2 linked regions of the Drosophila melanogaster genome follow. The protein of the gene in region 2 interacts with the protein of the main gene of each other region in a pairwise test. Each region holds a gene or a part of one and is shown on either strand. Other genes may lie near its edges.

What was found.
Region 1: the proteins of CG6607 (region 2) and CG34404 interact in a two-hybrid assay, tested with the Drosophila melanogaster proteins (2 studies listed by BioGRID).

What each region holds. Positions count from the first base shown.
Region 1 is NT_033777.3:15,363,235-15,369,421, forward strand, and holds CG34404 (uncharacterized protein), read right to left. Parts: upstream 4,432-6,187; 5' UTR 4,201-4,431; coding exon 3,913-4,200; intron 3,589-3,912; exon of another isoform or gene 3,565-3,588; coding exon of another isoform or gene 3,430-3,564; exon of another isoform or gene 3,363-3,429; coding exon 3,113-3,362; intron 3,056-3,112; coding exon 2,726-3,055; intron 2,671-2,725; coding exon 2,537-2,670; intron 2,475-2,536; coding exon 2,173-2,474; intron 2,112-2,172; coding exon 1,401-2,111; intron 1,343-1,400; coding exon 1,210-1,342; 3' UTR 699-1,209; downstream 1-698. Other genes in the region: CG6171 (uncharacterized protein), read right to left, coding at 1-81, 143-534; CG14868 (uncharacterized protein), read right to left, coding at 4,702-5,272, 5,329-5,467, 5,526-5,613, 5,672-5,779, 5,832-6,187.
Region 2 is NT_033777.3:24,526,199-24,530,315, forward strand, and holds CG6607 (uncharacterized protein), read left to right. Parts: upstream 1-1,848; 5' UTR 1,849-1,978; coding exon 1,979-2,056; intron 2,057-2,135; coding exon 2,136-2,486; intron 2,487-2,550; coding exon 2,551-2,730; intron 2,731-2,783; coding exon 2,784-3,305; intron 3,306-3,364; coding exon 3,365-3,454; 3' UTR 3,455-3,617; downstream 3,618-4,117. Other genes in the region: Jhbp12 (juvenile hormone binding protein 12), read left to right, coding at 401-490, 553-703, 820-1,252; CG13623 (uncharacterized protein), read right to left, coding at 3,623-3,998, 4,060-4,103.

The sequences.
Region 1 (6,187 bases), 9.2 Mb from region 2:
AGGGGTGGCGCTGGAAAGTTTGGTCGCCGGTAATCCTGATCCCCCGGATGAGCTTCTGCACTACGATGAGCTGGATTTCGCCTGTCATTGGAAAAAGGTATATTTTTAGTTGGTAATATGGGAGTTGGTTAGTGTGAATCACCTGTAGCATCGTATGCCGAAGCGACAAGAAGTCCTAATACTGCTTGAAGATACGGTAGACTCGTCGGCGGCGTCCTGTGCATTGCTATTAGTGGGCTCGGTTTTTACCATCGCAGCTGCAGGTGAGTTTCCATTGTCCGCTGGTTCGGCTTTAATCTTGATCGCAGGAGTAGTGCTTGTGGGCTCATCTGCATTCTCCACTGGCTCAGCTTTTATTTTCATAGGAACTTCAGGATTTGTTTCATCTTTAATGGACGCCACAGGCTCCTCCGATTTTACGCGCTTTCTTAGGCCGTTTTCTGCGCCAAAATTTGCGTTGCAATTGTGTGTGATATCTTCAGAAGATTTTCGTTTAGCGCCACTATCGGCTGTAGATGCATCTGTGGCACTCATTTTAAGTAAATTAAGTTAAATTTTCAAAACATTTTTATTTCACAAGTACTCATATACTTGATTCTGGTGATTTGCAACACTACACGAAATGGTGATGGATGCTTAAGTTAGTTTCATTAGCTTATCGATTAATTATTGGAGCCAATTTCAAATTCGTGAATTTTATCGAGTTTTAGTAGACGTTTTATATTTTGTACAGTTTTAAATACATATTGAATCATATAACAAGCAAAATGCGAATACATTGTATAAATATAGGATCCCGTGTATGCGTCTTGAATAACTCCTTAGTTTGTCTATTCGTATGTGTGTATATGTAATTGCTTGTGGCCCATAGACGGATGCTCCAATCCCACGGATCTATGGATAGGTTGGTGGAGCCTTGCTCATGGCACCTCTGAATATGTATGTATTTGAGTATGTAGTTACTGCAGCCTTATCTGCGAGGCAGGGACACCGCCCAAGCCCCAGCCGACTGCAATTAAGTCGCATGGCACATTCGTGATACTGTCTTGGTCATGGCGGATCCACGGCGACTGCTGGGCGGGTGGTCATTGCATTAAAGGTAAAATAAGCGATATGATCGAGAGGGAAAGATCTTTTGCGGGATATGTGACAAGCGCGCCCGCTCCACGCCCAGTTGCTCAGTCCTCCTGGAAGGTCGTCATGCGTTTCCTACAGAGTAGTCTCAGGAACATGGTTATGGCCTTGCTCGTAGTCCAGCCGCAGGTCAACAATCTTCTGCTCTAGCTTCCTCACCCGCAGCTGGTACTTGCGCTTGGTGTGATCTAACATTTGGCCCAGATTGCTAAAAGGGAAATATGAAGAAATTATGTATGAAACAGTCAAAATAAAACGAATCTTACTGGTTGGATTTCTGCAGTTCACGCACGTTCTGATGCAGTTGCTCGTATTTTTCGTCGAAGGCCTTCTGCGAAGCTGTTACATTTGCCAATAGCGTCTGTATGCGACCCTTGAGCTCCGTTTCTCGAGTTAAGGCCTCCACCAACTGCTGCTCTGTGAGAGCCGCATGCTCCGCCTCCGAATACGAGACCCGGTTGTTTGCCTGTAGCTGCTTTAGGGCTTCGTGGAGTATGCCCACTCGTTCGTTGGCGTTCTGCCGTTCCTGCTCGGCCTCTTCCATTTTTGTCTTCAGCTGCAAATTCGAATCCCGCAGCTCGAGTATTTCTTGCATAATCACTGCTGTCTCCAAGTCAATGGGTGACTTCTTGTCCGCGCTCCGAAGTTCGTGCTCCTTTTCCAAAGCCAGGCGCTTTCTTTCGTATATGTCGCTGAAGGGTGATTCCAAACTGACAATGGTATGCTGGACATTGGAACGACGTCCCTTCAGCTTGGAGACGTGGTAACGCAGGCGGTTGTCGTCGTCGGCACACCACGGGCGGCCAGTTTTTGGGGCATCCTCTGGGCCCAGGTTGATGTTGTGTTGCCACGGTCCCAGGCTGTTCTCACAAACGTTTTTCTCGCTATCCAAACGGGCTAGCAGGTGCCTGGCCACCGCCTCCACCGATCGTCGACTCTCTTCCGCTGCCACTGATTTCTCCCCCAGCAGTGCCAACCTGGAAGTGATGAATTGTGAAATAGGGACAACAACCCGCGTCTTATGGTGATTGTACTTACTTGCTTTCGAGCAGAGCCAACATTACGTCGTAGGCCTCGATGGCGCGATCACTGCAATTAAGCGCCAACTGAAGAGCAACCGCATTGGACTCGTACTTTCCGCATAGCAGATACAGATGCTCAGTGTGCTCCTTGCATTCGTCTAGCGTCAGTGCCAGCATGGTGTTTCGCATCTCCAATTGTTCAACACGTCGTTGCAGTCGCTCCAAGTCTTTGCTCAAATGTAGGGGCTCCATAAAGTTCTCCATATATAGATTTTGCTCCTTTAGCTCCGACACCAAATGTTCGACCAGATTAATTTGCTTAAAATTATGGGTTGTATGGGTTGAAATGTATTCTCTGAATAAAGTTTTGGTCAACACACCTCGTTGCTCAATGAAGTATCTTGGGATGGATCTTCTCCGGATTCATGTTTGCTGGCGCACCGCAACTTAACCCGTTCAGCCATTTTCGGTACCGCTGGAATGCGTTTTTGCGGACTTGTCAAGGAAGTGCAAACTGAAAGCATCTAAATGTGTAACCATTCTTTTATCATCAGGATTATTTATATTACCATTCAAATCATTCAGTCGCTGTCCGCACTCGTTGACTTCCGATTCGCAGTCGAAGGCGACTTTGGTCTGTTCCTCGACCACAGCAGCATCCTTGGTGGAAATCTCGGACTGGAGGAGGGCGATTCGAGCTCTCAAGTGCAGAACTTCCTCCTGCAGTGCCTCCACTTGTCCCTTATGGCTCAGTTCCGGCGGTTTGTGGGCAACGTTACCCACGCTGGTGGTACTGCAGGCGCCCTCGAAGTCTTCCAGTGGTTCTGTTTGACATTCGGCATCAGGATTGGTGAGGTTAAGCTCGGAATTGTACACTGAACCCTCCTGAAAGCTGAGTTCTGAAAACAAGACTGTCGGTTAGGGGTTTGTTTCCCTCATTTGAAACTGCTACGCACCGCTGCCGTCGGGCTCCTGCTCCTCCATGATAACGTGGTCCTGCTTACTGCGCAATTTCTTGCTTAACTCGGCGATGACACAGTGCATCTCTGTGATGCGACACTCGTGGGCCTGGCTGACAACCTCCAAGCGCTTGTGGCATATTTCCCGCTCTGTGTTGCTCTCAGTGAGCTGTCTTTCCGCCTGCTGCAGACGCTGCGTTAGATCCCGCACCCGGTTTTCTAGCTGTTGTACCGACAGTTGCTCAACCTGGAGGTGAATCAAAAGAAAAGAGGCGGATTAGAGCTTTCTAAGTGGTTATTCTTGGGGTCATCACGTTTATGGGCCGTCTGGCCAGAGGATGAGCCATCAGCGTATACTCCCAACTGCGTCTCTTGTCGTTGGGCACCGATGGCGTATCGCTGCAGCACAGGCAGCTCAAGCTGCGCGGAAGCAGTTGCTCCGAAATCATGGTCCAGTGGAAAATTTTGACTGGCGATTACGTCGTCATCCGACCGCGGATGCATCCGCGCTCTCCGCCGCTGCAACTTGACCCTCAGCCTTCCACACGCATCTGCGCACTGGACGCCAACCGAATTTAAAGCCCGAAACACTTTGAAAACCAATGATTGAAAATTCTGCGTTTCTTATTTTAAACTACACAATAATGAGGTATTTTTAAATATTTTGTGATCATTTTAAAAATTAATTTAAAATGAACTTGATCATGTTTAGTACCAATGTATCATTGCAAATTAATATATTGATTTTTTTGATTTAAGATCTAGTTATTTCTCTCAGTGCGGGCATCATTACTCACTTTGTTGACAATGTCTAGCGTGGAGCAGCTGGATATGTTGTTGTCACTCTCGGTGGTGTCCCGCTGCGTGTGCTCCGGAGAGTCCAGGTCGGAGGATCCCACCAAGTGCCTGCCACCGGGTCCTCCACCGCGCGGCGAAATGCTACCGAAGACGTACTCGAAATCCTCGCCAGCCGCGCTGCCGGAGTGCTTGCCCTGGAATCCGCTGGAGTCACGCTGCTTGCCACTGCGACGCGGCACATCGGTAGCTATCTTGGCCACCCGGGCGACCTGCACATCATTCGACATGGTGGCAATGGGCGGCTGCAACGACTTTCCGACTAGAATTGGCCTGATTTGGGCCGCTTGATGATGACTTTTGATTGGTGCTCCATTCCCAGGATATGTGGCACTGGTGTTAACTCTACATGGCTCATTAAAAACTTTTCTTAAGGCATTTTTAATTCAAAAACTCGAAATTACTCCAACCAGTCGGGATATTTATTGCATTCTTATCAGAAAATGTATACCCAGAAATAAGAGTGTGTGAGAGTGTGTTTATGCTAACGGTATGCAACACTCCGCATATTATTTATCGATAACTTGGGCGCGTCTTTTAAAACTGTATGCTATAGTTATTGTACATATCCAGTTTCAACGCAATATCGATTGAATAAAGTGATTTATTTTATATAATCTGGTTTTATTGTACGCTGTTGCGGTAATATATATATGTATTATATCTTTTGTCAACACTGAGATATGGTTTCATCCATTTCTTTGGGAGTCCTCAATTGAACTAGTTTTTCTCTAAGGAATAGCCGCCAGATTCTCTGCTCGTATCGTCACCATAGCCTCGTAGTCCCGCATGTCCAGATCGTGAAGTGCTTTCTGGACCAGAGTGGCCAGGTGAGGCGGCAGGTCCTTCAGATCCTCCATACGTTCCCGTGCCACTGCACTGGATATTCGTGGCGTGCCGTTGCAGCGGCTGCTCAATCCACAGTTGCCCGAATCTGTTGTGGCGGATGAAGACTTTTGGAAGTCATCGGGCTGCACATCTGCACCGTACACAGACGAATCCACGGACTCCGTTGAAAGCGAGGACATTCCATCGTCGGAATGCAGAGCCTCAACGGACTTGTGCTTCTTTGAATCTTCATGATCCGCTGTAATGGCGACGCCTTCGTTATCTGGCTCAATGGACGGAGTGCTGCTGATGTCGGCGTCATCTACCATGGCGGCACAATAGCCATTGAGGAGCAGCTGCGAAGGCGCATAACCATATTCCACGTCCTCCTCCTGCTCCTCTGCGTTGTCATCGTTTCCGGAGAGGAGTTGTTGCCACCGCTGCTCCAGCTCCGTCATTTTGCCAGCCAGTATTCTGCAGGAAATATGGGTTTATGAAATATATATCAACTTTCAGCTGGATTTTCCTACTTGTTGGTCTTCTTTTGGTGCGTCAGGGCCAAGTTCTTGTCGTTGAGATTGTCCAGCAGGGCCAGACACAAGGATTTTAGATCGCTTAAGCTCTCGGTTTTCTGAGGCAGCTCAATGCCACTCTCGAGGATTGTTTTCACTAGGGTACAAACAAATTAGAAAGGCATGAAAGAGGTGGCCACCATATAATTACTCACCTTGCCGGGGGCTTAGAATGGTGTCCTCATTTGTGCTCCCACCGCCAAGTTTTACAATTCCCTTCTTTCGTTTTGCATCCAACATTGTCTGAATGATTTAAATATAAATAAATAAAATGGTAATAAGTCTTAACTAATACCAGTACCTTGTACTTATTGATGCTCTGTTTGGTGAGCTCCAGTTCGCTGTCTTGGATCTTCACACGTTCATGCAGGTACTTGTTCTCCAGCAAAACACCATCGATGTCCAGGAGCTGGAAAATCAATAACTATCAAGTAAGTACTATATAGCATCAGTTAACTCACCCTTGGATGCGTTTTCTTCGCCCTGAGGGCCACAAAGAGTTCATGATTTAGGCGGTGTGCCTTGCACTTGTAGGCATCCCGCTCGGTTATCAGCTCCTCCTTCTCATCGATCACCGCCTTCAGGTCGAAGGCCAGCTGGGCATTCCTTTTTTTGAGGCCCTCCAGGTGGCAGATAAAGTTTGCCCGCTCACGACGCCACTGCAGCTCCTCCTTGTTGCGAGCGGCATTCTCGCTGGCCATTGCCTGTACCCGCGACTTGTTGCTGGCCTCCGTCTCCCGGAGTAGTTCCATGTCGCCATGCAGCTCGTTGAGCCGCTGCCTCAGGGCTTCCACTTCGGTGCTGAGCTTTAGGTTCT
Region 2 (4,117 bases):
TTCCACGCCGCAGCACGGAATTTTTATGGAATTTTTCTCGCTGTGTAGCTGATTAATGAAACCGTTGGCATAGGTCATGTGTGCCTTTGTCTGCTCAATGTATTCATGATAAATGGCCCCTCAACTTGACATTGAGCCACTAAAATATGCTAGCTCACTTCTTTTTCTCATGTATTCATCCACATATATATATATACATTTTTTTTTGTGTCGCCGACACTTTTGTTTTGTTTACAAACAAGTTTCTGTGGCCAACGAACTCTGGCCAATGGATGCTGGCCCAATTGCAGGCCGCTATATTTTTATTTTTTGGCAGTGGCACTTCCGCAATCCGCGACGCGGCGAGATTTCAATGTCATGACCAAGCGCGACTTAACCGATTTTTGTCTCGACTTTTCAGCCGAAGGCTTTCCCAAGTGCAAACGGGACGCGAACTTCGACAAATGCCTGGTGGATGCCGTCAATGTGGCGATACAGCAGCTGAAGGCGGGTGAGTAATCACACCGATTTGGTTGCAGACCTGGAGTCATCCTCTCACCAATTCCATTGCAGGCAATAGGGAATTTGGCATCCCGCCCCTCGAACCGCTGACCGTAAAGAAACTCGTTATAGACGCCGGCAATGCGCCAATAAATCTGCGCCAGGCCTTGAAGAATGTGAAGGTGCACGACATGATCTCCACCAGCAAGATCCAGCGGTACAGGTGGGTTATCACGATTAAAATATTTATTAATGAAATTAAATGATATAACATCACAATGTCATATCAACTAAAGAAGTTATAAATATATGATGAATATATGACCTCCTAAATTTCAGAACCGATCTGGATAAGCACTTGATTATCTGTGATAGCCGAACGGATCGCATAGAGATGATTGGCGACTACGAGATGTCCGGCCGCATCCTTCTGCTGCCCATCACGGGACATGGAAAGGCCAATGTCACGCTGATCAACACCAAGATCGAGCATCGCCTGATCGGCGAACCCTTTGAGAAGGATGGCGTCAAGTACATGCGACTAAAGGACTACCGGGTGTCCTTCGATCCCAAGAGGGTGTACATGAACTTCGAGAATCTATTCAACGACAAAACTCTGTCGGATGGTATGAATCGATTCCTTAACGAAAACTGGGAGACGGTGTTCAACGAACTAAAGGTGGGATATGCCAAGAGTTTCGGCATCATCTTCAGGGAGCTGTCCAACAAACTGTTCGAGAAAGTGCCCTTCGATAATATATTCTTAAGTTAAGTGCTTAAACAGCTTTCAATTACGTACCTATTAGGTAATGCTTAATTTATGTTACTACATAGTTAATAAAGGTCTTAAACGATACAAATCTGTTTTATTTATTGCGATATACCCTATGATAACTAGTCATCAACTTATTCAGGGGCAAAGTAAATATTTAACATATATTAACAACACTTTAGTTGGTTTGTTTAGGGCTTTAACCTTTCACACCTCTTAATTATTCGCTTCCCTTTTTATTGCTTGTAAACAAGATAATTCGAAGAATTTGCTGCCTGTAAACAGAAAAATCGGTTTGCTTATCTGAAAAGTGAGAAGTCAAGGTTGCAATGAAATTCTTTAATGCAATGCAAGGGTGTAAAAATTTATATTATATAGTCAACAGTTTTTAGTTTTGAGAAAACAAACAAATAGCTTAAGGTTAATTTAAAAAAAACAGTTGAAGGCTTAACATATATAAGCATTTTTAATCAATAAAAAATCAAAAAATATTTCAAAACTAAATTTCTTCTTCTTTCTTAATTAAAATAACCGTTAAGTATGTAGTGTGACCAGCAGCACAAATGAATGCATTTTCGACCTTAGCGCTTTGGTATTCTCTGCGAGTGTGTGGCTGTGCCCACTGCAGTGCCAGCTTTATTTGTTGGTCAATTTGTTTAAAACAATTTAGAAACCGTGCAAAGAACTCCACCGCCGGCAACCACATAGACCTTAAAGCCAGCCTGGATGGCAGAGAAATCGCTAGCCATGGATGGCACGGTGCCGGAGGCCAAGTACCAGAAATTGGCCACAGAATACTCAAAGGTAGGATTCCGCCCCAAATCGACAGCAACAGTTAACGCCCATTAATCCAATTAATCCCCCAAAAATGAACCCCAAATAGCTGCGGGCACAAGCGACGGTGCTAAAGAAGGCGGTGCTGGAGGAGCAGTCCAAGGAGGCCAGTCTGCGGGAGCAACTGCAGCAGTACGCCACCTCGTTGCGCCGTACGGAGCAGGAGGTGGACTCGCTGGGCTTTCGCAACAAGCAGCTGGAGTCGCGAGTTTCGCAGCTGCAGCAGGAAATCTCGGTGCACGAGCAGCCCAAAAAGAAGGACAAGGATTCTGGCGGCAGGCGGGGCGTGCAGAGCAATAGCCGCCCAGATGCCGATCCATCATTGGATGCCGCTCAGGAAGCCCTCATCTTCGAGGAACTGCAGAAGAAAATCATGGAGAATGCGCAGCTGACGTCATTGGTAAGGCCAGGGGGGATGAAACTTAAAATTGGGTATGAGTTATGGCTCGAATGACTATGCACAGATTGACGACAAGCAAAGGGATCTGCTGCTGCACACGGAGCGCATAGCATCGTTGGAACAGAAGCTGGAGAAACGCATCGGCGATCAGAACGAACTGGAGAAGCGACTCAGGAAGGAGGTGGAAACGCTGCAGCACAGGAACAGCGAGCTGGAAACAAAGCTGGTTGATGCGGCCAGCATGGTAATATTGAGATCTCTCTTTAAATATTTACCCAAAGATTCGCGTGCTTTCAGCTTGGCAGCGAGGACGCACTGAGCGCCACCGGCAGCGATACTACTCCTCTACACAATCTCCAGCAGCAGTCGAATAGCAACCAACTCACCTCCGAGGATCGCATTGCGCTGCTCGAGAAGGAGGCGGCGCATTGGAGGGCTCAATTCGAAGTGGCCAAGCTGCATCAAGCATTTGTCTCGAACCCCAGCAAGGATCTCAGCACGTGCAGCTGCAGCACGGCGGCGGCGGGCGTCACCGTTCGACCGGCAGAGTCGGAGGCGAAAGGCAGCCAGCGGGCGCGGGATTCGCTGCAGGATCCCCCCGAACCGCCCACCAAGGAGCAGCTCATCTACAGTGTGTTCAGCAAGAAGTTCGAGGATCTGATGCGACTGAAAGTGCAAGCGGAATCCAAGTTGCGATCCTACGAGCTGGAGGTTCAGCACCTGCAAAACTGCCTGGAGAACGCAACGCACGAACTTAAGGCCAAGGACGATCAGTTGGCCAGTTTGGGTGGAGCCCTGCAAATGCTCGAAGAGGAGTTGGTGAGTTGTGCCTGCAGTTTTGTGCTCTTAGAACCAAGTGACATCTCGGATTTCCTTAGACTACGACGCGTATTAACTACGAGGAGCAAATCAGCGTGCTGACGGAGCAGGTCATCAGCTTGAGTGACCAGCTGGCCGCCTGCAAATGAGCATGGACAGCGGCGCGCATCCCGCCCAGCTGCTTTACTGTATATTGTTGTAAAATAACTAACTGGGAACGCCCGCTCCCCCTCTACCCTGTTTTGTTATTGTCCACCCTCGACGTGTATATAACTGAACATTCTATGTGTATTAAATAATTCTCTAAAGTTTAAAGTTTACAATTTGATTGAGAAGGAGGAGCCGCAGGAGCAGCCCTGTTCCGCCAGCGGATTGGCCACCATCCGGAAACCGGCGCGTATTAGTTCGCTATGGTAGTCCACGGTGGCGCCGCTGCAGTACTCCAGCGAGACTGTATCGATCACCACCTTGGCCTCAGCCTCGCCAAACTGTCGGTCATCCTCGTTCAGCTGCTTATCCAAATCGAATTTGTACTGAAAGCCGGAGCATCCGCCTCCTTCGACGGTCACACGCAGGAAAGATCCATCCACGCAGATCTCACGGAGCCGTTTCAAGCAGCTCTCGCTCACCTGGACACTAAGTTCGGGATTCGCGGATGTGGAAGCGGTTGCATGCCGCATTAGGATTAGATTTCTATGGAAGATCAAGCATTTATTGTGGGATTTGTCACGCAATTTTTCCTAGCTTATTTCACCTTTGCAATCCGCTCCTGGCCACTTGTCGCAGTAGGAACGCCATAATTTTACGATTTC